Linked DNA regions of Oryzias latipes. The protein of the gene in region 6 purifies or fractionates together with the protein of the main gene of each other region. This does not show direct contact. Links are inferred from orthologs where the notes say so. Each region holds a gene or a part of one and is shown on either strand. Other genes may lie near its edges.

Evidence for each region.
Region 1: the proteins of erlin-2 (region 6) and tmem259 purify together in Homo sapiens (affinity purification with mass spectrometry; 3 studies listed by BioGRID and IntAct, with this or other methods). This does not show direct contact. The link is inferred for Oryzias latipes from reciprocal best matches to the Homo sapiens genes ERLIN2 and TMEM259.
Region 2: the proteins of erlin-2 (region 6) and E3 ubiquitin-protein ligase RNF170 purify together in Homo sapiens (affinity purification with mass spectrometry; 4 studies listed by BioGRID and IntAct, counting the BioPlex papers as one, with this or other methods). This does not show direct contact. The link is inferred for Oryzias latipes from reciprocal best matches to the Homo sapiens genes ERLIN2 and RNF170.
Region 3: the proteins of erlin-2 (region 6) and tmub1 purify together in Homo sapiens (affinity purification with mass spectrometry; 4 studies listed by BioGRID and IntAct, with this or other methods). This does not show direct contact. The link is inferred for Oryzias latipes from reciprocal best matches to the Homo sapiens genes ERLIN2 and TMUB1.
Region 4: the proteins of erlin-2 (region 6) and insig1 purify together in Homo sapiens (affinity purification with western blotting; 4 studies listed by BioGRID and IntAct, with this or other methods). This does not show direct contact. The link is inferred for Oryzias latipes from reciprocal best matches to the Homo sapiens genes ERLIN2 and INSIG1.
Region 5: the proteins of erlin-2 (region 6) and amfr purify together in Homo sapiens (affinity purification with western blotting; 4 studies listed by BioGRID and IntAct, with this or other methods). This does not show direct contact. The link is inferred for Oryzias latipes from reciprocal best matches to the Homo sapiens genes ERLIN2 and AMFR.

The regions. Positions count from the first base shown.
Region 1 is NC_019862.2:1,619,560-1,624,480, forward strand, and holds the start of tmem259 (membralin), read left to right. Parts: upstream 1-1,857; 5' UTR 1,858-2,277; intron 2,278-4,050; 5' UTR 4,051-4,184; coding exon 4,185-4,388; intron 4,389-4,759; coding exon 4,760-4,921. UniProt on the Homo sapiens protein: May have a role in the ERAD pathway required for clearance of misfolded proteins in the endoplasmic reticulum (ER). Promotes survival of motor neurons, probably by protecting against ER stress.
Region 2 is NC_019870.2:16,802,895-16,807,992, forward strand, and holds the start of E3 ubiquitin-protein ligase RNF170, read left to right. Parts: upstream 1-1,974; 5' UTR 1,975-2,223; intron 2,224-2,803; 5' UTR 2,804-2,827; coding exon 2,828-2,967; intron 2,968-3,464; coding exon 3,465-3,540; intron 3,541-4,119; coding exon 4,120-4,234; intron 4,235-4,478; coding exon 4,479-4,552; intron 4,553-5,098. Other genes in the region: gpn3 (GPN-loop GTPase 3), read right to left, coding at 655-763, 920-967. UniProt on the Homo sapiens protein: E3 ubiquitin-protein ligase that plays an essential role in stimulus-induced inositol 1,4,5-trisphosphate receptor type 1 (ITPR1) ubiquitination and degradation via the endoplasmic reticulum-associated degradation (ERAD) pathway.
Region 3 is NC_019875.2:10,862,712-10,867,615, reverse strand, and holds the start of tmub1 (transmembrane and ubiquitin-like domain-containing protein 1), read left to right. Parts: upstream 1-1,766; 5' UTR 1,767-2,187; intron 2,188-2,265; exon of another isoform or gene 2,266-2,443; intron 2,444-2,804; 5' UTR 2,805-2,821; coding exon 2,822-3,276; intron 3,277-4,904. UniProt on the Homo sapiens protein: Involved in sterol-regulated ubiquitination and degradation of HMG-CoA reductase HMGCR. Involved in positive regulation of AMPA-selective glutamate receptor GRIA2 recycling to the cell surface.
Region 4 is NC_019878.2:19,438,737-19,443,547, forward strand, and holds the start of insig1 (insulin-induced gene 1 protein), read left to right. Parts: upstream 1-1,734; 5' UTR 1,735-1,869; intron 1,870-2,240; 5' UTR 2,241-2,640; intron 2,641-2,735; 5' UTR 2,736-2,752; coding exon 2,753-3,086; intron 3,087-4,162; coding exon 4,163-4,287; intron 4,288-4,590; coding exon 4,591-4,757; intron 4,758-4,811. UniProt on the Homo sapiens protein: Oxysterol-binding protein that mediates feedback control of cholesterol synthesis by controlling both endoplasmic reticulum to Golgi transport of SCAP and degradation of HMGCR.
Region 5 is NC_019861.2:26,263,665-26,268,463, forward strand, and holds the start of amfr (E3 ubiquitin-protein ligase AMFR), read right to left. Parts: upstream 3,237-4,799; 5' UTR 3,062-3,236; intron 2,577-3,061; 5' UTR 2,559-2,576; coding exon 2,304-2,558; intron 1-2,303. UniProt on the Homo sapiens protein: E3 ubiquitin-protein ligase that mediates the polyubiquitination of lysine and cysteine residues on target proteins, such as CD3D, CYP3A4, CFTR, INSIG1, SOAT2/ACAT2 and APOB for proteasomal degradation.
Region 6 is NC_019867.2:25,069,510-25,074,363, reverse strand, and holds the start of erlin-2, read left to right. Parts: upstream 1-1,741; 5' UTR 1,742-1,749; coding exon 1,750-1,916; intron 1,917-1,958; exon of another isoform or gene 1,959-2,026; intron 2,027-2,709; exon of another isoform or gene 2,710-2,763; intron 2,764-2,895; coding exon 2,896-3,003; intron 3,004-4,854. UniProt on the Homo sapiens protein: Component of the ERLIN1/ERLIN2 complex which mediates the endoplasmic reticulum-associated degradation (ERAD) of inositol 1,4,5-trisphosphate receptors (IP3Rs) such as ITPR1.

The DNA.
Region 1 (4,921 bases), on a different chromosome or scaffold from region 6:
TATTTGTTGTGACTCCTGATTCTGGAAAACACACAAATTCAGACATTACTGTTGTAGATGGTTGCTCATATTTTGCCCTGAAATACACTTAACTATAAATCCCCACAGTGTTCTTCATTCCATGACGTCCGAGGCTTTATCATTAATGTTTAACCCTTGTGCTATCTTAGATGACACCCCCCCCCCCTTACATTGACGTGTTCTCCCTACCATGACAAAGGTGGATGAAGGTGGAAAGATTTCATGTAATCCATGGACACCAGTGAAGATCACAAATCATTGAAGAAAATAGGTTCAGGGCACTGTCTAGTGGGTCTAGATGACCCAACTCCCAATGTTAAAGTGCCTAGGATAGCACAAGGGTTGACAGCACTGTCTGCAGCTTGTAACACACAAGCTCCAATCTAGAGCCAATGCCACAACGAACATGAGTGTAAATAGGAAGCAACATCTTCTAACCCAAGAAAACCACTGTAATACTTAATTTACAAAGTCAATTAGCATTCATTATTCGGAATTGGATCAGACTTTACATAAATGATTAGACATTGACAGCTGTCTGTTTTCAATGAAACCAAGTCTCAAGAGATCAATCTGTATAAATAAAGTTTTAATAATGTAGAATTACTAATTTGGATTTAAAAAAAAGCATCATGCAGACCCTTTCTAAAAAAAAACAATATTAGAATAAGAAGTTTCTTGACCCGATGAACCCGACAGTTGGATGCGTCTCCTGAAGGTGGAGGTTCTTGAAGCTGTTCCTCCACCTCATTCCAGGCTTTCTGGAGGTCTGCAGCTCCTTGAATCTTGTCCTTTTGATGATCCGCTGAAGTCTCTTTGCTGGAATTTTAAATATAAAAATTGAAGGGTTATCTAAAAGGAGCTGCATTACCAGAATGCAGGGTTGAATGTTATCTTGCTGAAGAAATGGCTGAGGTTGTTTGCTAACCATGCCAACTACCCCTGGGCTTACTCAACAATGCCGAAATTCTTTATATGTCCATATTGAGTGGTTTTCAATATGTTCAGTTCAAACCGTAGGTCGTGTCGCCATCCCATAATGATTTCAAAACATGTTATAGTCCAAAGCCTTATGAGCATTTTACGTTTGAATGGTGTCTAGCTAAAATTATGTTGAAGTTATAATGGTTGAAAGAAGCAAATGTTTTCAAGGATTCCACATGTATTTAAATGGAGCCAGAAATCATGGACTATCTTGAAGAGTTCAAAGATTCATAGGACCTAAAGTCATAGCTGGAAGGAATAAGCTGAACATTGTAATAGTTGAGTGGTTAAAATAGGTGAAAAATTGTAGAAGGAGTTAAGTGCAGAAAAACGGCAGAATATGCTATGAAAAAGAAACAGTGGTTTACAGCATTCAACCAAATAAATCAAGAGAAACAAGAAAACAATTATGGAAGCGACTCTGTAGCATAAATAAAAATTAAAGTCAATACCAGAAAAGTCAATACTAGAATACCATTTTCAAAATGAATTTTTGCATTTCTATTAATCCATTTTGTCAAATTAGACATTTCTAAATGAATTTTGTTAAACATTTACCAGAGAACGTTTTGAGAATGAAATGTCAAATACCATTTTCATTATCATTTTAATTAAGTGACAGAATGAACGGTGTTGAAGAAGAAAATGAAAAAGCATTTTGGTGGATTGCTTTTTCATTTTCGTTTTGAGTCAAAAAATGCAGCTTCATTTTGAAAATGAAAAAGCATTTCTAGTTTTGACTTTTATTTTTAATTATGCTACAGAATCGCTTCCATAAACAATGGGTTGAATGCTGTTGTTTTTTTGTGTGGTTTTTTTGTGCCATGAATCATCAGTCAAAGACGAGGAAAAAGTCTTTGCAGACAAAATGCAGGAAAGCGAAAAACAACTCCTGTCAGACAGCGCGCAGGTCGAAGGCTGAGCGTCCGACATCCGTACTTCCGCTCTATCCGTGGTTTTGATAACAGCATCCGTTAGCTCGGTCATTTAACGCCGACAGGTCATTTTTGCCTATTAGAAAGTTACACCTTTCTGAAGTTTACTTCAACATTTTGAGTTTCCAGCCTATGTAAACTTTGACGTAGAAAACGTGAGTTTAATGCGAGTTCCGCAGGTTAACTGGGGTTAGCTGCTAGCTTGTGTAGCCTGTCTTTCGTCGTCTTCGCGGAGGTCCGCTTCGAGCTGCTGGGCTTCAGCCTTATGGCCTGATCCAAACGCCGAGAAGAGCTGGTTTACGTTGACACGGACTCGATAATTCGGAGTCATTGGCTGGTAAGTCCGCTGGAGGAGTCTCAGCTGCGGGGCAAGAGTAAAGGCAGCAAGGCCCGAGAGAGACGGCGCCCGAGACTGTTGACCACAACACGTCAGCTGATCGATGCGCCACGAGAGCACAACATGCTGATCAGCACAACAGCAGGTCTGGGCTGACGGTTCTGGTTGGTACTGTAGTTGGGACTGATTCAGGTTCAGAACATACGGACAGGTGGAGGAGGAACGCCTTCCCAGGTCACGTGAGCTCACAGGAAGTTTGGAAGTGAAGTTGGTGAACCGTCTTTATTCAGGACTCACTGATGTTTGAATTACCGACCGACCGACGCCTTCAAGTTAGGACCAAAAAGACAGGTCCAGTTCTTGGTCATCTGCTTAAACGTGATGTTATTGAAAGCATCAGAATGACCAAAGTCAACAAAATAAAGCAATAAAAAGTGAAGGCAATGTAATGAGCTCAACAACAGACACTACTGCCCCTGTCTGCCTAAAGCGGTGTCACTAAAAACCTAAAAAAACGTTAAATAACAATCAGCAAAGTCTTCCTAAGGTCTGAGGATTTGACCAAACTATAGCTTGCTTTGCTGCAATTGGGCTCGCACAAAAACCATAACCTTACTGTCACTGTCATGTTGGCCTGTGTGATAAATACGGACCTAAATGTTTACACACATGCTGAAACAATCTCAGCTTGAAGTTTCTAACAAATAGAATTCAGCCCTTTAAGCATTGGAGCTGGATGCCCATCTCCTTTGTAGATGATGGGCATTTAGAGAAAATGTAAGTTATGTTGACCTTTATTTAACTTACACTGTGGCAGTGAAATGGAAATGATGTATGTTTTTTGTTTTCTCTAATTATTCATGTTTTGCAAGTCATATCATCATGCCAGTACTGATCACTACCATTGCGTGTTTTCCTCACATCGTGCAGCCCAGCTGTAATAACAATAGAAATCCATTTCCAATGTAATTTACTGGTTTTATTTCTGACAAGCTGCAGTTTATTATGAAATTACCTTTCATTTTGAAGCATTAGCAAAGTCATTAGCAAAGCAAAAGAAAATACAAAACAAAATAAATAAATAGACTTATTTGAGTAAAATGACATTTTGTCTATTTTTTTCATCATCAATTAAATTACAGTTTTATGTATGTTGTCCAATATTTCCTATGAATATTAATATTGTGAAAAAAGTGGATAGCTTTACTTTGAAAATGAGAACCAACACTTTACTTTGAAGTTTTATTTACTTCAGGTCTCAGTGGTTCATGCAGCTGTGTTCAGTTCATATCATTAAAATCCAACATTATTCTGCATTGAAGAATAACACTCTCTATGACACTCTCATAGATTCATGAAGATCACAAATCAGCGTTGCAAATATTTGTACTAGTACATTCAGGGAAATATATCCGAGTACTTGGATACACTTTACAGCCCTGGTCATTAATGATTTTTCTCAAACATGCCTCATATTTATAGCTCCTCCGAAGCCTTGGCGTAACCCTTGTGCTATCCTAGGCACTTTAATATTGGGAGTTGGGTCATCTGGACCCACTAGACAGTGCTCTGAACCTTTTTTCTTCAATGATTTGTGATCTTCACTGGTGTCCATGGATTACATGAAATCTTTCCACCTTTGTCATGGTAGAGAGAACACGTCAATGGAAGGACGGGGGGTCATCTAAGATGGCACAAGGGTTAACCTGATCTAAGTTCAGTCAACTCCTGATAGATCAGTAATCAAAGTTCTTTGTTTCTTGTCATTTGCAGCTCTCGGTGGAGCTTCCCCTGTTGACTCTACTCCGGCCAGAGCTCCGCCTTCTCTCTGAGGCTGTATTGAGCCACCATGCTCACTTAGAGCCAGCCAGTGGGCCCGTGTCTTGCAACCAGAATCCTCAGTGACCATGTCCGAGAACCAAGCCAATAACGTCCCTCTGAACAACAACATTGGACCCAACAGGATTCGAAACCCCAACATCAACCAGAACCCCCTCATCAATGTCCGCGACCGCCTCTTCCACGCGCTGTTTTTCAAGATGGCTGTTACCTACGCCCGTCTCTTCCCTCCGTCTTTCAGGAGAGTTTTTGAGTTTTTTGTCCTCCTCAAGGTGAGAGAAGCAGAACTGTCTGGCTTTATGGACAGAAACTGACTGGCTAACGAGAAGCATTGCTGAGCTCTTTAACCGCTTTGAATGGAGGGAAACTCTGCTTCCCAAAAACCTCCGTTTTACCAAGACTGTCCATCCGTCTAGGTTTTAGTCTGCAGATCAGCATTCTGTGATGTGTTTCAACTCTGGTATAGTTTCTGAGACTACATGAACATTTGGTTTCAGTCTGAATTTTGGTCGGTTTTATTTGGAGAACAGAGGTTAATGGCATTATTATTAACGTTCCACTGTTGTGGCAGAAGGTCACAGTTGTGTAGATTTGAATGTTGGTGAATGTGTCAGTAAAATGTCCTCCTTTTGCTGTCCTCCAGGCTCTCTTTGTCCTCTTCATCCTTGCTTACATCCACATTGCCTTCTCTCGCTCACCGATCAACTGTCTGGAGGCCGTGAGGGAGCGCTGGCCTCGCGACGGCATTCTGCGCGTAGAGATCCAGCGGAACTCCAGCCGGGCGCCCGTCTTTCTGCAGAACCAC
Region 2 (5,098 bases), on a different chromosome or scaffold from region 6:
AAAATGTTGAAAAACACTGGCCTAGGCAACACAAAAGTGGCAAAATATGAACCATTTTAAGGCTCTGGAGTGGTCTAGCTAGACTGTGGACCTCAATCCAATAGAGAATCTGTGGAGGGAGATGAAAGTCTGTGATGCTCAGTAACGTCAAAGCTCTTGAGGAGATCTACATGGAGAAATGGACCAAAAGAGAAGACCCAATGAAAATGTCTGACCTCTATCAAAAGAATTGAGATGAACTTTTGATATTGACCAAATACTTATTTTCTACTTCACTTTACAAATGAAGTCTTTAATTTGTAACATTCTATCTCTCAATACTGAGGTGTATCCATAATATGACTTAGGAGTGAATGAATAATGGACACATAATAAGCACTTTAAGCGTCTGGAAAAGCGCAGAAAGATCCAATCCACTATTATTATTATTAATATTGTTATTATTATTATATAAACTTAAAGATTCAATAAAATACTTTTTTTTTAAACAAAAGTAAATTAGGTTCAACAGATCTCAAGACTTTAACAAGGATTTACCAACGTCAGAAAGGACATCCTGCTGTCATAGATGGATTACCATGACAACATGATCGTTTTTTAATTTTTTTGTTTTCATATTTGGAGACACAAACGGTTCATTTTGAGCATACTAACCTGCCATAACAGGGTAATTAAAGTGTTCTGCTGCTGGATCCAGGTTGACCACCTGAACTGAGCGGTTCAAAGCCTCTGCATGCTGGGTCATGGTGGAGCAGTACGTACTCTGAAATATTAATAATAATATTTTAAAAAGATACAATTAATGGCAAAACACAATAACAAAATAAAAACACGCTGGGTGACTGACACCACCTCATGTACTGTTAGCAACAACAGACAAGAGGCTGTAGACCATCCAGTGGCATTTTTGAAAACATACCTTTCCGCTACCAGCCGGGCCCATCACCAACTGGGCATAGCGAGGCATTTTCTCTGAAAAATGCGGTGTGATAAAGATCTTAAGTATCTTTAACCACAGACGCTAGCTTGTAATGCCATACGCATCGGTGTGATGACGCTACTTCTTCTTCTCCGGTAGATGATTTACGGTCAGGCTCATTACTGCCACCTACTGATCAAAAGAGGAAATGGAAGTCAGGGTGACAGTGGTCTGAAAAAGAGCCACAATGGAATGAACTGGTGATGAATTATTACACCTTTCGCACGGTGGATGTGAAAACAAAAATGCAATCCCATCTTTGCATTTTCGCTTTAATTATGCCACAGAATAAGCGGTGTTGAAGAAGAAAAAGAAAAGCAGATTGGCTCATTCGTTTGTAATTTTATTTTTTAATTCACTTGATGCAGTTACATTTTCAAAATGAAAAAGCATTTCTGTTAATAAACTTTGATGATCAAAGAAGATATTTCTAATTACATTATGCTACACATTTAGTAAAAAATGTCGAATACCATTTTCTTTCTCATTTTAATTAAGTGACAGAATGAGCTGTGTTGAAGAAGAAGAAAAAGAAAAAGTGGTTTGGTCGGATTGTTTTTTTTTTTATTATAAATTATTACAAATGCAGCTTCATTTTAAAAATTGAAAAAGCATTTCTGGTATTGACTTTCATTTTAAAATATACTACAGAAATCTTCCATACGAATGTACTGATGATGAGCATTGAACCAATATAGTGAGGAAAATACTGTGCAACAATTGTTTTCTTTTTGTGTGTCAATTACCATTGAGTCGCAAATTCTGTGGCAGTGTCAGTTGTGGCATTTTTTTAAGTTTCCCCAGGAAATGAAAAATTTTGCTCTTTAACTTTAAAATTGCTTTATTAAAACCATATGTATTTATTTGAACAAGTCGTTTAAACTGCCTATGATATGACCACGATAACCATGAAACTTAAAGCAAAGATCATGACAATAAGTTGTTCACAAACTGGCCGTTAGGGAGCGGTAGAGCCCCAGGGATCTTTGCTGTCAACAAACGAAACCACCAAAATTGAGTAAGAAGTAGAAAGTGACTGCATCAACATGCGATGATCAGGTGAAATTTGGAAACGTATGCAAGCCTTCCTGCTCACCAAGTTTGTTGATTGCGTCCTTCATCAGGCGCTTAAATTAATAGTATGTTTCGAGGAAGTGAATGGAGTTAACAGGCCAAGTTTGTGTACAGACATTACCGCGTGACGGTGGACTTCTTAGCAGGTACTACTACTACTACTAACTATGGCAAGTCTTTGTTTTTCTATTTTTTAAAACAAATGTTTTCTTTTTTTGTTGTATTTTTTTTTGCTGTCTGAAACACGTTCATGTTAATTTTCGTCAGTGCTTTCGATTTACGTGATATGAAATAGTTTCACTTCAGGAACTACCTTAAGGTTTGTTGTTAGCATAAGGCTCTGTATTTGTTTACGAGCGATAATAATCCTCTCTTTTTTTAAATCCTAGTTATAAATGACTATAATAATCGTTTGTGTAGCGTTAAAAAGTAATGAGGTCTGAAAACCTCCGTTAAGATAAATGAACCTATAAGTAAACATTAATTGTTTACAAATGACGTTTGCTTTCAAGAATTCTCGATAAGCTGCTCAGGAATGAGGTAACAAAACCCCAAAAGAGTCCAGCTTTCAACAATTATCCACTCTCTTTGTTCTGTTAAATTGTTCACATTATATTGTTTGGTTTTTATGTTTACAATTGTGTCAAATTGTCAGGAAAATGTACAATTAAAAAGATTCTGTTCTCCATTGAAGGCTTTTATTTTGGAGATAAAGAATTTCCGGGTTTGTTTTCTCTGCTCATTTTCCAGAGTCATAGGATATGAGTTTAGGGAATGGGGGATAGTCAATGTGGAGAGCTGGACTACCTGATCCAGGATGAGGACACCATCATCGAAGGTGTCAGCAACCAGGTCCTGTTTGTTGTAGTTCTCAGTTTGACCTTCCTGGCGGGCCTCCTCACTCTTCTCTGCAGGTAATGAAGACCAACAAGTCTGTGCAAAAACTGGCAGCATTGAGTTCATGCAGTGTTTTTACTGTGCTGTTCTCTGCTGATTGGAGAAATTATGCTGCTGTTTAATTTATGTGATATCACAGATATAGGAGCTAATTCTAGAATTTAAAGCGACTGAAGTAACGCCAGATCGATCAGGCTCGTTTCCCTGCGCAACGAGCAAAATGATGGTCTTTGCGCTCCAATCAAAGTTGGCAGATCATTTTACTTACATCATCATTATGAAATTTTCTTTCATTGATCCATTTCTTACCGCAACGACGGTTGAAAACCTTTTGTCCTTCAGGCAGAAACACATAAGTGAGAATTGACACACTCAGATTGCCTCTCTTTGCGTTAATCTGTTGCAATCTTTTTGTTTTTGGATTTTTCAAGTCAGGGATTTAAGGATGAATTCAATCATATATGACATAATTCATCCTAGTGTCTGATCATTATTCTTTGTCTTCTTTTTTAAGGCAAGATGAGCAGAATATCCACCCTGAGAACCAGGAGCATGTCCGAGCGGTCCGACAGCAGCTTCAAACTGAACAGGTGCGCAACCTAGAAAGAACCCCAGAAAGTTTTTGGCAAAACCTAGACTAGTTGTAGCCACAGAGCGCCGTTTTTCTCTTCTGTTGCTTAATTCTGAGTTTCAAAATAAAATCATTCACTGCTCTATTTTTTTAAAAAATCAAACAAGTAAACAGAAAATAAATGTAGCTTGTTTTTTTTTTTTAACTCTTGGAGTTGTAATACTTTAAAATAACCTTTTTATTTATTTATTTATTTATCTGAGTAAGTTAAAACTACATTTTTAAAAATATTTATACATATACATATACAGACGGCCAGTATCTTCAGTATTGAATTGAGTTTAAACTGTTTGCTCATCGTCACCTCAAAAGGCTTTAAAATTCAGTGAGGAGTTAAGAACATATGTAAGCAGGCAGACACAGGAAATGGAGGAACTGCAGAATCAGAACCACTACATTGAAATATTTCATAACAGTGATCTTTGCAGCTCTGCAGAATCACCGATTCTATTTTAGGAAGATGTCTTTCTGTGTATTTTATTTTGTCAAACGTCCTGTTTGCAATGGTGAGACGTGTTCTCTGCGTGTGGTTTGTCAGGATGAAAACCCTCAGGCAGAGGCCAGGCAGCAGTTCTACACAGACATGTCTTGCCCCGTCTGTTTGCAGCAGGCGGTTCTGCCCGTGGAAACAAACTGTGGACACCTTTTCTGTGGTAAGAAAGAGTTTAGAAGCAAAGTATAGTTTAGGGGTTCCTCACACAATTTATTAGTGAAGGTACTTTTGATATTCTGTGAGGAAATTGTACAATCTTGTGCTAATTTCTTCTAAATCTCCTGTAAAACAGGTTTTGTTTTAATTTTAATAGTTGGAAGTTGTGTCAAACCCTCATCAATGAGATATTTTACTTAGATGTGGATTATTTATGGTTTTTAAGATGTTAACATATTCTTACACAGGCTCCTGCATCATGGCTTACTGGAGATATGGCACCTGGCTTGGTGCCATCCACTGCCCAATCTGCAGACAAATTGTGAGTTTTATTGCTTTTATATCTATATTTTATTTTCAAGCAATATTTATTAATATGTCTAATTATCCAAGCTTGATTAGTTATGGTATGAATGTATAACGGATGATTTTATTGTTTTTGTATATTATTTCTATTTGATTGCTTGAAATAAACCATTTCAAATCAAATCAAAAAATATTTTATTGCCAAAATCTCTGTTTTATGACATGATTTTTTTATTTTTTTTCCTAAACTGATTTTTCTAGTAAAACTGGGAAAGGGTCCTTAGTGACTGTTGCTGAAAGTTAAACATCTCTATAGAAAAGATCTGTTTTTTCTAGCATAATCTGTTGGGAATGGTTTAAAAAACATTTAAGATCTTCTACAATGAAAATTATGTTTTTTGTGTTGTTAACATGTTTATGTGCGAAAAACAAATTCTACAAATGGAGGACATGTATAAAATTCAAATTGCTGTGAATTAGGAGCAAATGAAAAACTGCTGTTTAAAAATGAGCTCTTTTTTGACGTAGAGAATTTGTTGGGAGGGCCTCAAGCTCGCTGCTC
Region 3 (4,904 bases), on a different chromosome or scaffold from region 6:
CATCTTTGCTTAGACCTGGTCCTGGATAAGCAGAAAAAGATGGATGGATGGATGTACCAAACCGATCTGTACCAATGTTTAATCAAAGAAAGAATCAAAAGGTCTGACACCATTTACCGAAAACATAGGGTGCAAGAATTCATTTAAACAATTCAGTTATTATTTCTTGTTGATTAAATGAAATATAGTCAATATTGGTTCATTTTGAACAATTTGATTTACTGAAGTAAAATCGATCAGGGATATCTTAAGCCAAAAATTCAACCAGCGTGACTCAGAGATTAACCACAGTTTTTCCGACTGGGCGGTGTCCTGTCTGACGTGGTGCTGAGTGGTGTGGGAGCCCCACAGGGCACTGTGCTCTCTCCATTTCTGTTCACCTTATACACCTCAGATTTTTAGCACAACTCAGAGTCATGTCACCTACAGAAATTCTCTGATGACTCTGTGGTTGTGGGGTGTATAAGCGGTGGACAGGAGGAGGAGTACAGGAGGCTGGTGGATGGATTTGTGGAGTGGGCTGGAGAGAATCACCTGCTGCTCAACGTGGACAAGACCAGGGAAATGGTGATCGACTTCCGGAGGAAAAGGACTGTCTTACAACGCCTCTGCATGGGCAAGGATGTAGAAGCGGTGGAGGAGTATAAATATCTGGGTGTGACTATCGACAGCAGACTGAGCTGGAGGAGCCACAGCACTGCTGTGTACAAGAAGGCCTGCAGCAGACTCTACTTCCTTAGGAAGCTGAGGTCCTTTAATGTGTGCAGCAAGATGCTGGGGATCTTCTACCAGTCTGTGGTAGCCAGCACCCTGTTCTCCTCCTTGGTCTGCTGGGGAAGCAGCATTGCAGTCAGTGACACCAACAGACTGAACAAGCTGATCAGGAAGGCGGGTTCTGTCATTGGCTGCAAACAGGACACCTTTGAAGCAGTGATGGAGAGGAGGTCCCTGAACAGACTCCTTTCAATCATGGACAACCCAGAGCATCCTCTTCACCCTCTTCTGAACAAACAGCGGAGCTCCTTCTCTAGGAGGCTCAGACAGCTCCGCTCCAAAACTGCCCAGTACCAAAAGTCATTCATACCCAATGCAATAACCCTGTACAACACACAATGCAAAAAATAACCTTTGCACATCTTTTATTACCTATTTATTTAGTTGTTTTCTATTTTGCACATTTCTTTTGCACATCTTCTACTTGCACTGTTCTGTAAATAGCTTTTTAAATTATAATACCTTGATGTCTGTATTTATGCTACATTTTCTTGTTCTTGTTTTTTTTTTTTTTTTTTTTTTACTTAATTCTTAGTCTTTTTTCCCCTCTGCTGTCAGTTGCTATGGTGACAAACAAATTTCCCACGTGTGGGATCAATAAAGTATCTCTGATTCTGATAACACCTTGAAATGATGTATTAAAAGGTAAAGGTTGAATTAGGCAGCTGACTTTAGGCAGATTAAGTAAACTAGTCGTTACATAAGAGATCTATTTTGAAACTTCAAGGATACAGGAACTATGAGGCAAATTGAGTCTCTCCCCGTGTGAGTTTAAACCACCATTACGATATGATTGACAATGTGTTTTATAAAACAATTGAATGTAATGATCGAGAAAGCTTACGTTTTTTCACTTTTTGACTGTTCCCTTTAGGGAATGTCTCCGACCATTTAAGCTGTGTGCATCTTTGCTCACACCAACCACTTCTCACTCCACGAACGTCTTTGGTCTGTCTTTCATCCACCATAAGGTTTCTCATTCATTTCTGATCAACGGCCTGAACGTGTGGTGTTTCACCAAGTACCAGCAGATGGCAGCATGCCACCATCATCGCGTTGGTTCTACCGGGAGGCCAGAAGAAGAAGCGTGAACAGGAAGTGACCATCTGGCGAACATTAGCCTGGAAGCCCACGGGCTAACAACTCATGATATGACGTTTGGACCTTAATCAGTGAGTTTCAAGTCTGTCTGTTTGTTCCGAGGCTTCCTCTTAGCCTCTGTTTGGGTCCAGCTCTAAACAAGGTTCGGTCAGGTTGTTCGTATCCCGCTCTGAACTCGTTCTCTTGTCAGAGTTGTTAGTTAGCTTCTCGGAACTTAGGTTCCGATAAAGCCAGGTTACACTAGAGACCATGGTTTGGTTCGAGTTGCATGTTTGGATCTGCACATACATAGTCCGGCCGTCCACCCTCCAGGTGAGATGTGCTTCTGTGTGTCACGTGACGTGATTAACAGGTGGCATTACAGGGCGCGTGGGGAGCTGACCTCAGTTTGACAACGCTCAGACATCGAGGAAAGATCACAGGTGCGGCCGCAGTGTAAAAGTGAAATAATGAGGGTTTGGCTGGGTAACAGTCATCTTAGTGAGGCAGTTTAGAACGGTTCAGGGTCCGGGAATACTTTGAAAATGCCACGTGGGTTATACTGGGAGTTTGTTTACAAAAAGAACAGGTGAGTGCGGAGAGGGCTTCTTCAACCACGTCATCATAGTTGTACTGCTCGCATTTTAAAGTTTCCTGGGTTTTTTTTCTTCATAATACTTTTATTAGGGCACATTGAATAAATACCTATGTAAACTGAAGCAGCACTTAAATGCTAACTGTGTTTGATACATTCAATCAAAAAATGAACAAGTAAAAGTATAAAAAGGAAACACGTTGAAAATAGATCAAAAGATCAGGCTGGTTATGGTTAGTCCGGTCAATTCTGAGTTGGTTACATTCACACGGAAAGCTAAGAGTTATTATCGGTGGTGCTCTATGACAAATGAAACTCGTGATGGCTGACGCTAAGCTCCGCCTCCTGTTTGCAGGTGTGTCATCGTGGGCGATGGCTCTAATCGAAGGTGTCGGCGATGAGGTGACGCTGCTCTTTGGCTCACTGCTGGTGTTGTTGGTGTTGCTGCTGGCATGGATCTCCACCCACACCTCTGAGCCCCCAGAGCACCTGTTCAATGCCTCTACAGACCCCACCCCCACAGAAGGCACCGTCTCTGCCCCACAGGACACGCCCCTGTCCTCCACCAGCAGCAGCTCCTTGTCTTTCTCTCCAACGTCATCCTCATCTTCAGCTGCCAGCTCTGTGAATGACAGCGTCCCGTCAGAGGCTCCACCCACGACCTCCGCCACACAGGAAGGTAGTGAGGTGGGGGGAGGAGTCAGACACAGAGCAGGGGGGGAGCCATTGTCCTCCCCAAGAAACATGGTGGTCAGACTAAAATTTCTGAACGACACAGAGAGAACGGCTCAAGTCAAACCACAAGACACCATCGGATACATCAAACGGTAACTTTTCTATCGTATCTATCAGTTTACTTTATTGTACTGCACTACATGGTATTACACTGCACCACACTTCACTGTACTACACCGTACTTTATTCTACTTTTACGTACTTCATTGCAGTACAATTTAACACAGTGTACTGCACTGCAATGGACCATATCACACCATACTTGTCTGTACTCGGTACTGCAATATACCACACTATTATCTATGTAGTATACAGTATTTCACCGTCCTTTACTGTACTTCATTGTACTACATCTTACTACACAGTACTAAAATAGGCTTCAGTGTACAGCACTGTACTACATTGCATTACATTGTACTTACTGTACAACACTGTATTCACTGTTTTATATTCTAGTATACCATCACACTACACTGGAATAAACTGTAATACATTGTACTGGACTGTAGTTTACAACACTAAACTCTAATTCACCATCCCATACACTGAACCATACTGTACAACACAACACAAAGGACTGCATTACTGTAATACGGTGCACTTTACCATACTATATTGCACTACAGAATTGCCACCTTATTCGCGCAGGGGGGGGTCAGAGGCACCCGGAAATACTGGAAGCACCCCCAACCCCTGTGGGGGAAGAATGTCCGCCACAGATCCTCACTCATCAAAAACCCTTCTGAAATATTTCTGATACTTTATAAAACATTGAACATTGGAATATTGCTCAACATGAAGAGTTTTTTTTTATTCAGATCAATAGACTGATACTTTATATCACACATTAGGAGTGTCTCTCTGTCTCATGCTTCCTCCTTCATCAGTTAAGTGTGAGAGGGCATCTTCTTCCTCAAGAGGCTGGTTTCCATCATTCATTCATTGGGATGATAATTATTCTCCGCAATTATCTTCCTCAGCGTATCAGGATTGTTTTTGCCCACTTCTGAGTCAGATGATGCTATTTCTGCATGCAGGGACACAAACTTCGGCTGCAGTTCTGTATGTCAGTTTAGATCTTTATTATGAAGCTGCTGAGGGCGTGTGGAAGAAATCTGGTTCATCAAACTTTGAGACAGGAAGATGTGGGACGTCTGTCGGTCACGTTTGCTTCATGAATTGAAGCAAACATCGTGAGGACCCCACAGGAGGACACGCATCCAGCAAAGAAGGCCTTTCTGGTTCTTCTCAATGTTTCAGGAATACAATAGGAATCTTGAAGCTGCAGCTCTGTCTGCAACATTTCTCCTCCTCATCATCATCATCATGGTTCATAGCAGCAGTTATACGTAACCACAGAATGCTGGATAAATGCAGCTGAAGCTGTTGCTCTGAAAAAGAAAAGCTTCACAGTCGGTTTGTTTTAAACATTCACTATGATGCTTTGTTCGCTGCCTGCTTATTGCTCAAGTGTAGGGGTCAGTGATAAATTGATGAATCGATTTATCAAAGTAGATCGATCAGTTTTGGACAGTGTGCCTTAACCTCCTGAGGCTTGTGCTCTTGTTTGAAATGCCTTTTTTAATTTCGTACTCCCAGGTAATGAGAGTTGGCTACAGTGGTGAATTAATCGAATCAAATCAACCTATAATTATTAAAAAAAATCATCCCAAGATGAAATGAATTTGGATTGAGACGTGGTAGGTTTATTTTACTATGA
Region 4 (4,811 bases), on a different chromosome or scaffold from region 6:
CTTAATCTCTCCAGAGTTCATAGAGCAATTTGTTCCTGATTCAGTCCTCTTTTGGATGGCCTCCTGAACTTATATTAAAGACTCTGATTCTGCCACTCCCTGACTCCACCATTGTGTCCGCCTGAGCTGCATCTGATAGTGGAGCACTTTGGTTACTATTGCCTGTTTACCTGCTGTATAAATAAACTTGGATTAGACTGAGATAACCTTGTTTGCAAATTAATTTGATCCCAATAACATAAAAATGCCAGAAGTTTTGTTTACCTAAAAACTTGTGTTAAGAAGATTACTTTTAGTCTGAAGGTGATTAGAGATTAAGACAATGGTACAATCAACTCAAAGCAGAGCTTTTCCAATGTTTACAGCAGAAAAAAACAATCACATTCCTTCTAAAATAGTATATTTATTATTTGTAAATTTAAAATAAGGCATGAAAAACAACCTAAAATTATTCTGTTATGGTAAATATGGAAAAATGTTATGCATCATTTATTTCATCAGACATAAAATATAAATTACTAATGAATAAATCGACATCTGCAGATGTCTTAGAAATGCTAATATATCCAGAGTTTATCTTCTCTTTTTCGATTATTTGGTCAATACAAAGATCTGGACTGATTAATGCCTCAACCCTGAGAACCCAAGAGCAATTTTCTTCTGGGATTTTGAAGTTAATTTGGCTTTTTTGTTGTTTTTTTCATTTTGCAGCAATTAACATAGACCAGAAGATTGAAAATCCATAAATAAATTAATAAAAAATACACAAAATGTATATATAATTTTGAAGAAAAAAAAATAAAAAAACAGCGGCCAAACTTGTCTCCATGGGTTCTCCAGGGTTAAACTTTTGTTTTACTTAGAAATATTTGAGGGAAAATCTGTTAATTTTCTTTTCTTTCTTTTTTTTTTGACAAATATTTTTATGTTATATTTTCAAGTCATGAAGCTAATCACTGGGTGGCAACCAGAAATAAGTTTCTGCTTCACAGCTTCATTTGACAAAACAAAAATCATCCTCCTTTTTAGTTCTGCGTTTTAGCTGCACATAATTGCCGTGACACAATGAATACAACACTGAGCCATTAGCAGCACAGTCAATTAGCAAAAGAGGAATTTAAGAGGGAAACTTAATTAACAGGACATGCTATCTGATTGATACGCTTTCTGTTTTTGTTTACAAATTTGCTGTGAGTCATGATGCAACAAGTCATTTTGCAAGTCAATTTACATCGTAAAAAGGATATTCATCCATGTAATTTATTATCATGACACTGATGTTAAGAAATGTGACTTTTAAGGATGTTTTAAGAGGATGTAAGGATGTTTTTTTGTCTAATGCTTTTCTTAACGTGTGAAATGATTACTTTGACCAGAAGTGAGTTTTCTTTAAAAATTATGATTTTATGTTGTGGCTATTATAAGGTTAAACTGCATGGAACACGGTGTTTACAGCTGTATGTGAGTCAAGGGTCGGTAATGGTTACTGTGCTCCCTAATTGGCAGTGAACTGGACTAGAGGCATGATCGTAAAACACGTAGGTCCTGTCCCCGTTGTTTTTAGTCCTTGAAAGGCGGGCAATGAACTCTTTGCATGACATTATCTGTGAATGACATGCGGATGGCCACACACCTTTTGCAGCCTCCCTCCGAACCACACCTCCTCTATGATGACCTATGGGTCAACAACTTGTGCAAGCATCAGAAAAACATCACAACAAAGTGTGCCACTAACCCCATTCCCTGATGCCTGCCTATAAAAGAGCACCTGTGACTTGGATTAGGGTTATTTAGTCGATGTAACTCGCTGATGTAGCTACAAAGGAAGAAATAGACCAACCTTTAAGGATTAAACCTGCGTTCTTCCTGGTAAGAACAGTCTCCTAATTCTTTACATTATTATTGTTGAATTAGAATAATTACAAGAAATGAATTATTGGCTAAAAACAGAAGATACTACTAAAGTATTTCATTAGGCTATGCAAAGGCTTTCAACTTTAAAGCTCAGCATGAAAATAATGAGCAGATGTTTATTAGCAACAAAAATTGGTTATTATGCATTACTGTTTTATTTGACACACCAATCAAACCTTTTTTTGCTACAATCTCTGCAAATAAGAGGGTGATGCTTTTTTGATCAATTAATTCTTTTGGTTTTTTTTAGTATTTTGACTTTATGGTTCCTTTGTCAGTAGTTTTTCCTCACTTTTTGTGTTTTCTTTTTCTTTTTTAACTTCTAGGTGATTGATTTGTACTTGTTAAGTGAAGAGAACTTCTCCATTGAGAGCGTTTGCATTTCAGCCGCAGCCTCCTGATCTGAGCGTCTGCGCCGGACGAGGGGGCGGTGGGGTGGCGTGACGTCATATCAGCCACCGCGCTCTGATTGGCTGCCTGGCTCTCACCCGACAGAGCTGTGATTGTTTTCTGCAGAGGAAGCCTCTGAACGAGCGCCGTGCGCTGGAATGAAGCGACCCTGTGTGTGTTTTTTTTGTTACTGAAGCGATGATGTGAGCGCACAACGTGACCGGAGTCCTTGTCGTTGAGTGCGGGAAAACAAAACAGGGTGGTAGTTTGATCACTGGCCGAGGCGCCAACGAGCAGGACGGAAGTTTGGGTCACACAGTCTCAAGAGAGATCAAGGTAAGAACTTACAGTTTACGACTTACTTTCATCATCTAGACCCATGCTATAAATGATTTATGTTTGTAAGTTAAATCTTTTTTTTGATTTAACAGTAAAAAAAAAGTGCCAAATGCCGAGACTGGAGGACCACTGCTGGAGCTGCTCTTGTTCTTCTAAGGCTGACACTAAGCATTCATCGGGGGCTAGCTGGGTCGCATCCAAGGTTGAGGAGATGATGTCCATCATAACCACGGTGCTCGGGAGCGCCTACGGCTCTCTGCACGACGTCCGGACCACCAACCTGATCCGCCGGGGTCTGGTCCTCTTCACGGTCGGGGTCTTCCTGGCCCTGGTGCTGAATTTACTGCAGATCCAGAGGAACGTCACTCTGTTTCCTGAGGAGGTGATGACAACGTTGTTCTCCTCCGCTTGGTGGATCCCTCCATGCTGCGGGACGGGAGCGGGTGAGTTTGTTGGAGGTTGTTTGTTCTGTTTTTTAATCAGAATTGTGCTGCTGTTTGGCGACAAAGGAGGCCAGATAGGGGAGGGGTCACAATGCTCCAGGTTTTTCCTAATAAAATACTATTTTTGGTGAGAATAACCACAAATGTGACATAAAAACTTTCAGGTTAAATTAAAAAAAATGTCTCTTTAGGTGTATTTCTAGGGCTCGACAAGCGAATCCGTCGATTTTTATGTCTAAAACGACAGAAATACCCTAAATATCATTGACTTAGACTTTCGCAGTGAAACATAACATTAGTCATCCTTTCTTTCCACCATTATGTAAGCTTTTTTTCTCTCGGGCGGTGTGGATCTGGCTGGTTTTGTGTTAGATATCAAAAAAGATGGCTGGGCACATATGATAGCTATTTCTGCGCTCTGATTGGCTGAAACAACCGGACGCGACGTGCGACGTCCCCTCATTGGTTGGTGTCATAACGGGTGAGCGGAGGACCTCCCCCTTCTTGTAGAAACAGGAAGTGGGGTTTTAAAAAAAAGAAAACATTCCATTGTGGCTCCGCCTCCCACGTGCTGAAGGAAGGCAGAGAAACAGAAACCGATTTTTCTTGGTTTTAAAGTCTTTTTAGACGACTTTTGAGTAAACCAAAGTTCAAATTTCATGTAATATGTTTAATTCATATTTAACATAGAAAAACGTTTCTAATTTATTCCTATAAAAATTATAAATTCTGACTGTTTTACATTAAAGATGTGGAGAGAATGGTTCAGAATTTAAATAAATAACTTGTTTATACTTTTACGGTCAAATTTAGGTCCAAAACCACTTATTTTTAGGGCAATTACCTTTAAGGTTTTTTCTCAGAAAGTAATTTAAATAAATAATAAATTCACATATATGAGCCTTGAAATTGCAAATACACAAAACAGTATCGCGTTCACATGAGTCACTAAGTATAGAAACGCACGTCTCAGCAAATTTTCTGTCACTGCAGCTCTTTGACAGGATTTGCCCTCAGTGGGTCTCGGTATTTCTGCTTTTGTTGCATAATTCAGGCGTATTTGTTGGTCTTCACAGCTGTTATCGGCCTGCTGTACCCCTGCCTCGACAGTCATTTGGGAGAGCCTCACAAGTTCAAGAGGGAGTGGGCCAGCGTCATGAGATGCATCGCCGTCTTTGTAGGAATCAACCACGCCAGTGTTGTATCCTTTTATCACCCTCCAAGTCTTGCCCCGCATGAATTTGCTTTGCTTTAGCCACAACAAGAATCAAACCTTTTCCAGTGATGAATTAAATACAGGGTCCCTGTTGAGTCTTTTGTTTTCCGACCAGTAAAGAGTCTTAGTTTAAAATTTTGTTGCTGTTCTGTTTTGTTTCTTTTGTTGCAAAGAAAGGAAGTGCGTAAACGTCTGTTCTTCTCATTCAGTCCAGCTAGTCAAAAAAATTCAAACCATCTGATCCTGTGCTAACATCGAAGTGATTCCCCTTAACTCTTTGGAAAACAGAAGTTAGACTTTGCCAACAATGTGCAGCTCTCCCTAACCCTGGCCGCGCTCTCCTTGGGCCTGTGGTGGACGTTCGACCGCTCCAGGAGTGGCTTCGGTCTGGGCATCACCACCGCCTTCCTCGCTACTGTCATCACACAACTGCTGGTCTACAATGGCGTTTACCAGTAAGTCAGCCTTTTTTCAGGGGAGATTTGGAGCAACAACGTGTGGTTTCAATG
Region 5 (4,799 bases), on a different chromosome or scaffold from region 6:
CACAGCGGACAACACACACAATGACAGCAAAAAATGATCAAGTCATCATTACAGTCCAATGTGTGGAAAAACTTGGAATTTTGCAAAGATATGTGACCATAGAGTGTGCTAGACTGTTTTAATAATGTTCAGTTTGGATTATTTTCATGTGGGAAAACAACAGTGGGCTGAACTTCATGAAACTAAAATTGCCATTGGATCTTGTTTTCTTGTATGTTTGTACACATATTTAATGTACAATTTCTGGTGTAACTTCCCCTGTACCATTCAGTACCCAGGTATTCATCTCTGAGTCACACTGGTTGAATTTTTGCCTAAAGATGTCCTAGCAGGTACTGCAAAGGGTGTCACTGTGCATGACGTTTGTACTGTGGCCGAGAGGTGTAAGACACATTTACATTTAAGATACAACAACAACAAATCCCGGTACAAACAAAGAAATACTGAAACACAACATCAAATCACGAAATACAACACCAAATCATGGAACAAATTACTGAGTCCTGAAACACAACAGCTGATCCGGGGGGAAATGACCAAATACAGAATTACAAAAAACAACCCTGTTACAATTGACCAAATCCAGAAACACAACAACAAAAGCAGGTCACGGCTTCTAACAGAAAAGACATAATATAAAACCAATTGACTATGATTTTTTTAAAGTTATTTATTACTGTTTTCTTTATGTGGACATTTTAATTACACGAAACATTCCAAAAGCATTTTTTAAATTGTGTTACTACAATACAAAATAAAAAAATGTTTAGTAAGGTAAAGTTTTTGCGTCACATCTGGTAGTAATGGTATTCCCTTTCCGTTGGCAGCTGCTCGCTTTCGTTCATTTTTTTCTCCTTCTTCTGAAGTCGTGTTTTGCACTAGTGCAAGCTTAATGGAAAGGGAATACCATTATTACCGGAAGTGCAGCAAAAACTTTACCTTGCTAACACATTGTTGTAATTTGTATTGTAGTAATAAAATTTAAAAAAATGCTTTTGGATTGTTTCATGTATTGAAAATGTCCACTTTAAAAAAAACAGTGATAAAGAAATGTAAAAAATCATACATAATTAGTTATGTATTACGTCACTTCCGGGATTCAGGATGTTAGAAGCCGTTTCTCCACTTTCCTTGTTGTGTTTCTGCATTTGTTCGTTTGTACCGAGATTGTTTTTTTGATTTGGTATTTGGTAATTTATACCCGGATTTGCTTTTGGGTTTCAGGACTCTGTAATTTCTTCAGTGATTTGCTTTTGTGTTTCAGTATTTGTTCATTTGTTCCAAAATTGTTTTTAGTGCTTCATGATTTGTTTGTTTGTTCCAGGATTTGTTAATGGTTGTATCTCAAATGTAAATGTGTCTTGCAGCTCTCGGCCATCATATGTTTGCGCATGTTTGCTTCACCGTTGAAGAACTTTGTTTCCGCGTTGGAAAATGTACAGCGATGAAATACCCTTCACTGTGTGTACTGGGATAGCTTATACTTTGATTTTGATTTGAAACAAGGTAGAGTGGACTTAGCGGACATTTGTGAGAAAATGGCAGCTTTCTCATGGCTTTGGATCATGAGTCATGGATAGTGAAAAGGCACAAGATAAATTAGGTCCCAAAAACCACCCGCCAACACATCATCAAGGAACCTTGATGAACCGCGCGAGGTTCGTCGTTGCGGACCCAAGTCTCACAAGTCGCATCGTGACAAACAATGTTAAAGAGCGCGGTAACAAACGGTCACAGGTTCAAGTCCCTAATACAGAATAATAAACCGCACTCAGCAGAGGTAAAGTATGCAATAGTATACATTGAATGATCTTCTGAAAAATATTCAACATTGCTGAATCCCTTGAATAATGTCCTGTGACAGATTGATGGTGTTTAGAGCACAGATAGAGAAGCTGTGGCATCGAAAGAGACATTAAAAAAAAAAAAAAACTTGATATATCTATACATGATTACCGGGTTTTCCCATTGTTTTCCGCAAAACAAAGGTGATCAGCAAGACGTAATATAATAATAACTTAATTTGAGGTCTATTGGGCCATTTCATTTATTTCTGTGTTCAGAATTGGAAGCTCTACCATTTGTGGTCACCAACTTTCGTCACTGGACCTTAGAAAATTGTGGCTTGTGTTCCCTAGTCCTCGACTCATTTTAGGTCAGTGAATCGAATCATATCAGACCATTAAAAATGAATCAATATTGAGTATTAAGAAACCACAAATTAGGATATGAATCAGACCATTGTTAAAATGAATTGTCACACCCCTACATTAGTCTAACGTTTTAAAGTGAGTGAAACTTACCCACACAAACAGACTGTCGGTCACAAGATACCACAGGATCGTTGTTGCCAGTTCTGAGTTACTGACAGCATTGCTTAGGTGTTCAAGATCGACGTGGGAGGGAGCAGGTGTATCGTCCGGTTCCAAGGCCCCAAAGCCGGGGTCTGTCACCGTAGGGTAGGCACTGAAGATGCTCCCAGCGAGTAAAGCCACACTCAATACTGTGTAAGTCTGCAAACTGGGCCACGGAAACCTCTCCAGAAACATTAGAGGCATTGCAGTGGGTGCAGTAGTCTTCAACGAAAAAAGGAAGAAAAAAAAGTCTGTTAACAAACAACACACATCTGGATTAGCCAATGTTGGCCTGACTTTAAACAGCTAAACAGATTATGTAATCAATGGGGTTTGCAATTTGAGGGCGATACCAATTCACCAATACTGGCAAGTTTAAAATAATAATCATTAGTAAAATTATATGAATATAAAATCTAAAGCAATAAAATGCTAATACAGACTAACGCAGGAAGTGGCTAACCCCCATAAGCTTCTTTAATTAAAAAAAATATATCAAGTTCGTTCGGTTTTTTGTCTTTGGGTGTATTTTAATAAATAATCAAACCAAAAATATTCAAATAGAATAATTAAAGTGAGTTAACATGTCCAGTGTTAGTAATTCACCTAGCTAACGTTACCTAATACTAGCTAGTTTGTTAGCCAATCTTTGCTGCGAAGCTAAAACCAATCGCCGAACTGCGGCTTTGTGTCTAGACTCCACTTACAGTTCCTTACAGACAACGTTTGACCCAATATCCCGGGTAATGTCCTAATCACTGGACCGAGTTTTAGTGCAGCTGCACGAAGAAGATCATAGAGGACGACAACATCGTCATGTTTACGCCACCGAGCAGAGCGACAGGCTGAACGGCTGACTCGCGAGCTGCTTCTTCTTGGTTGCGCAGGGAAACTACGTCATCGTGGCTGTTTAAAGGCATCGCCATTCAAATCATATTTCACACGATTTCACACGATTTCGCTGCTACCTACTCACTTCACACACTTAAAATATCATTTACCTTTGCTGCTATCAGCTGCACGAATCCACTTGTAATGTGTTATTTAAAATGTGCTATAAACCACGAAGACAGGAACGGGTAGTTTCTAGAACAAAGAAGAAAAGTCGCGACTCATTCGGGAGAGCAGGAGACGTCGTTTCTTTGGAAATTCACCCCTAATGACAGCAGGGTAGACGTTTATGCATGTAATGATGAGACCAATCAGATTAGATAGATTTTTTTCAAAGTAATAAATATGTATTTATACATAAAAACTCACTTCACAATGTTAGGAAATTAGTGTTTGGTAGATAATTCGATATAACACCAGCCCTTTAAAAAATGATCATATATTAGAACCATACATTTGTATTTTTAAAAAGTTTTTTTTTTTTTATGGGCAGCAGAGCAGATTGAGTTGCATCAATAAAGAATTTGCCCAATTTTTTAAACCAATGACACACGTCTTAAATGTATGACGTCATTGCCTCAGTTTTACATTTGTGAAACCTTCAGGTGGCCTTTACTGTAATTGAATACGTTTGGAATGCTAGCTTTGGTTATTGCAGCTGATGTCCTTTTTGATTCCTTGATGTTTTGTTTTGACAATTTGAAGGATCAGCTTGGGGCTGTTGTAGTACCAGCACAACCAGGCTGCCAGCCCATGGTAGACTAATGTGATGGCATCCCAAAGCAGTGTGTGACCAGAAGAGGTCCAAGGCTATTGTGGATGTGTTTAGCTCTTCCACATATTATAAACCCAATAACCCACAGACAGCGTAATCACTATTTCCAGCTAAAAAAAAAGTACGTTTAGAGTCAAAGTAGTTTAATTCATGGCGTCAATGGGGTTTGTCAATATAAAAATAAATTGCCAAATTGCTCATATTTTTTGTTTATTCAAACTTCAAACACTCAAAGATTTAATTTTAGAATAATGTTTTTGGTGCTGGGAGAGAAGATTTTGCACATTTATCACAAGTTTATTATAAAGTAACTCAATTTAAAAGGATAGTAAATAAAATTTAACACAGTAAGTTTTTTTTTTTAAGATGCATTATAACAATACATCCTGTAACAAACACATTTCCTTTTTTTCCTTTTACAATAAAAATAAATAAAACTATCTACCTAAACAGAAATTCGTGCATACGAATACAAACTTCAGAGTCAGGTAATATCTATTAATATTGAACAAACTGTGTAATAAAACAAACGTACCAATTGTTGAGTGAAGAAGAAGAAAAAAAGCTGTTTTATAATAAAGTCATGACAGAATTCCAGGTACCGATTGCTTTCATGTTCCAGCTTTCACTCTTCATTAACATATATTTTATATTAATATTTATTTATATATTTTGTAAAATCAAAAATTAGGAACTAGATCATGATGAAGGGTAACGACAGATAAGATAGAATAAACTTGAAACTTCATAGCCAGATGTTAATTATTAGCTACTCTAAA
Region 6 (4,854 bases):
CACAAAACAGCTATATTGAGCTGTTTTAACCACAATCGATATCAATATCACTTCAAATGATCACTTTCTAAGGGTAATAATGAACCATATTGTAAAAACGATGGGGTGGATGCAAGTTTTATTGAGGAAAAGTGTAATGTGTTAAATGGAAGTGTTGTTTGGTTAAAATGGCTGCTTCTTTAACTATTGGTAAAACTTACCAATGCTTATTATTAAAAGCATCCAATAATTGCTATAATAGCATCTGTTTAAAAAGTCTTTATTAATACAAAGAGTGTCAGATTTTTTTAAGCACACACTTTTGACAATCTATGTTTTTTTCTGTGGTCTCACAAAGAACCATACACTCACCCCTCTACTCTATCTACAGCATGCCACAGTGCCAGGCATCTGTGGTCAACAGGAAATGACATCTTCTCCATTTTGGCCTCCTCCCCCTTTGCTGGCTCATTTTGTCCAGATCAAGCTGATGGGTCAGGAAATTCTTCACAGGCTGATAAAACCAGGATATGATTACTCGGATTTAGTGTGGAGAAATGCATGGTTAACAATGACACAGCAAGTTCTAGAAGCCACAAGAGTGTGCAGTTTCTGGTTTTTTTTCCACTTTTTTCTTCTTCTTTTCCTTTTGAAAAGCCGAAAGGATGATGCTTGATACCAGCCACAGTGAATCAGCTTCCTCCATCTAACCTTGTGTTCTGCACAATCTCCTCTAACACCAGCTACCTTCATTCACTGCATCCATAAATCTCCTCTTTGGTCTTCCTCTGGACCTCTGGTCTGGTAGCTCTAGACTCCGCATCTTTCTACTAGTGTTTATTCACTTTGGTTGGTGAAAGAAAATACTGAACATACTGAAATTCTTTTTCAAAGTCATTACACCACCTAGTGGGGGAAGAGAACATGATCTTTTCTCTTTTGAGTCTCATTTAGAGATGGTAAATCTGCTGATCACTCTGGATGAGCCGAGTGAAATCATGTTATGAAGTAAAGTTGTGTAAATCAACGGCAAGAAATCCTTTAGAGGTCCATATAATGAAAACACACAAAAAAGATAAGCAAAACCCATAGAATGCCATGCTAGTTAAATCACAAAGCAAAAGCTCTTAGGTCCTCAGAAAAGCCATTCCAAAGGTGAGGGACATGATAGTGAAATGTGACCTAACACTGGATGTTAACTCTCACAGAAGAAATTGTTCATAAAATATCACAAAAACTCTAAGTGGTCTGAGAGCAAAGACCTTTTAAAACGTATATAAGACTTGGAAAACTCAGTCTTGAAGATCACATGTGCGAAGACCTCAAAAGAGAATCAGGTGTGTTTAAGAGGCAAAAACACATAAAACCTGCAGAAGGTGGTGTTCCTTGAAGATGGACAGGAATTTCATGTGATAGATCTCACATCTCAGACGTGGAAAGCTTTGTTAATACTTGCTTTGTCCGTGGTCAGTCTGGTAACAGATTAACTCCTGAGCATCTGGTGACTCATTCTCATTCACCCCTTGTTGCTGCACTTGTTTCAGATAGGAAGTCTATACAATGGCAAAGAAAAGCAAATTAAACAGCTCAGAGGAATGCTTTGAATAACAAATTCAGAGACAGGATTTTCATTAAAAAAGAAAAAAACACATAATATAAATAATCATAATTTCCTATGGTTTAGGAAAATCTTTTCAGCAGTTTTGGGGATATTGTAGGTTATGACGTTTTCTTTTCTTTTCAATGTGTACATTATTTTAGATAATTCATATGAAACCTGTGTCTCACGGATCTGGCCTTGAAGATAAAAATCCCAGTGTCCACCAGGGGGCGCGCTTGCAGTGCTGTAGACAAGGAACACTACATGGGATCAAAGCAGAAGAAGAAGCTGTAGGTCGTTTGTTTCCTGTTTTGTTTTTTCTGAATACAATTTTCAGGTAAGCTCAGAGATATTGAGACATACACGTGTGATTTTGTGGTTACACGCTCTTTGCTTTGCTCTTTAACATCAAAGTAATGTAATTCGAAGCTGAGTACACGTGCAAAGGTATGGACAAATTGGATTGTATTAAGAGAAAACACACGCCAAGTTCAGTTGCCCAATCATTCCAAAATGAATGGGAGACGTGACATATTGAGATGTGTTTGAAAGACCAGACTCCTAAAATAAGCGGTTTATTTTGGGATATAAAGGGCACAGTGGGTCCCACTTTGCTAATTTCGTTAGCTGTGAAGTCCACAATGCTGAACGTTTCTTTAGTTCTAATTTGTGTTGTCATTACATAACATTTTTTACACAAAATTTTTTGTTTTATTTATGTATTTATTTTAGTTTGTTTGGGTCAAATTCGAATGATGCTTGGTAACATTTATATGTATGTATGTCCCTCACCTGATTGATCCTGTAATCAAGCTAAATGACCAATAAACACTTACAGAAATGTATATTTGAGGCCTCCGGCAGGAGTGTGAAGAAATTGACGGGCTGATCACTCTGATTGTGGGCGGGGCTTTAGTGGAGCCATAAGGTTCAGCAGATTGTGTTTGCAAATCCGTCCCCCCCAAAGCTGTGGCAGCTCATCTGACTCTCAGAGCAATGTGACTGAACAACAAGCCGTCCTCCAGTATTTGTGTTTGTGTTGAACGTGCGATGGATTGATGTGAGCGCCATCACTATCGGCGGAGAAGTTGTTTTTCTGAACTCCAGCCTCGATCTTCTGTATGTGACAGGGTCAGAGCTGCTGCTGATGCCTGGCTAAGCCTGAGCTGAGAGGAGATAAACGAGTGAGTCCACTGTTATTGTCCAGAGCGCTGACGGGTTCCAGTGACAGTTTCATAGTCACATATTGCAAGAAGAGCGTCTTGATCCTCCAGCTTCTTCCTCTCACCTGCTCCTGTTCCCTGTCTCCTTGTCAGGATGGCACAGTGGGGGGTCGTTTTCTCCGTAATTGCTGCTCTTGGAGGAGCGGCGCTCTTAGCATCTGTCCACAAGATTGAAGAAGGACACACTGGCGTGTACTACAGGTGAGCCTGCATGATGTTGTTTAACAGATAATAAAATAAGCAGCTGTAAATGTATCAATCTGTCATCCTACTAAGAAAATAAGCAAATTCAAGCTTTATCACAATTTCCAAATTTAAATCTAATTATATTTTACTCAGTTTGGATAAATTTCAATTCATCTATCCATTTTCTTAACCCGCTGTATCCCTTTTGGGATCGCTAGGCTGCCGGAGCCCAACCTGGCTAATGTTGGGTGAAGGCGGGGTACATCCTGGACAGTTTGCCAGTCTGCAGGCCCACACAAATGCACGCACGCACACCTAAAGTCAATTTAGAGACACCAATTAACATATGGACACATTTTGAACTGTGAGAGGAAGCCGGATGGGTTTGGGAAAACCCTTGCATGCACAGGGCAAACATTCAAACTCCACACAGAGGACCCAGCAGGGATTTGAACCAGGGCCTTCTTGCTGTGAGGCGAGAGCGCTAAACTCTGTTCCACCGTTTGATCCATTTTTAAAAGTTTAGCTCCAAAATCAATGTTCTTAGGTTAGGAAACACAGAACACAGCAGTTCGATTCATTCAGGTTTTTTCCCACCTTGTCCTAGCCATAGCACTGCCTTGCATAGTGTTAAAGAACCACATGCCATAGGGGAGAAATGTCTTCCCCATTTGTCCATGGATCAGGACAGAGGCAGCAACCAGTCACTAAGTCTGGACTTTCTCTAAACAGCTTTCTAAACAGTTGACTTGTGATGTGACAAATATACCCTCTGCAGCAGTTTTTGTCGATGTGGGAGGACACCAGCCTTCCCAAGAAATACAAACACAGGGGGTCTATGTTTGCAGAGGTTTTCATATGCTTCACATATTTGCCCTTACATTGTCACTGGCTTCAGTTGAGGCCCGGGCATCCTGAAGTCCAATTTTTTCATGGCTGCATCGAGGTGCAGGTAGTTAGGTTCGCCCCATCTGACAAAGTTGTGAATCAGGTCTTTGCCCTCCTTCTCCTGTTCACTACTGATTCAGCCCATGATAGCCATGTCATCCACAACATTCTGCACACGATGGAACTCCACAGCTCCAGGAGTTAGGCTTTAAGTCAGTTCTGTTGAACAGAACTGAAGTTAGCAGTGTTCTTGTGGTTTTTACCATTATATCCAACTATTGACACGAGAACGGGACGGAGTGAGTTTCACGTTATCCATAGAAAATGGCTTACTTCCGACTCCAGCCATAATTAATTCAATCCAGTTGCTATTTTCCGTAGTATGGACGTTGCCATGTTGGAACTTTGAAGTCGTAAGTAAGCTGTGATTGGTCTGAGCAGGTCTGAGTCATCATTTCTATGGCAACCACTCTCACAAACCAGGAGTGAGCTTGTTGGAAGGCCACACCCCTTCCACTTAATAGCGTGGTTGGGGAGAATCTGTCAAACGTTTCGAATGTTCGACATGAAACCACATACTTTTATCGAGGCATCTGATCAGTCAGTTTATAACTTGAATAACTTGCACTACAGAAAAAATATCATGGAAAAAATTAAGATTAACAAGAACAAGGTTAAAAAAGGTATCAGAGCAAGAATGGTTATCCTGACAAATAGAATGACTGAGTGATAGCTGTTTATTTCTCAAAAGAAGTCTTTGGGATTTTGGCTTCTTGGAGCCAGCAGGTACTTCCTATTTGGAACACCAGGGGGAGTCGCTCAGTCCAGTTCTTATATACAGTCAATGTGTCCAATCTGCAACTCCCCACCCTCAAATACTGAGGTCTGTAATCCAGATTTAAGTTTACAATTTTCCGATTCTTTTGTTTACCCACAGCGCATCCTAATTTAATGTGACTCATCTGATCAGAAGTCTGT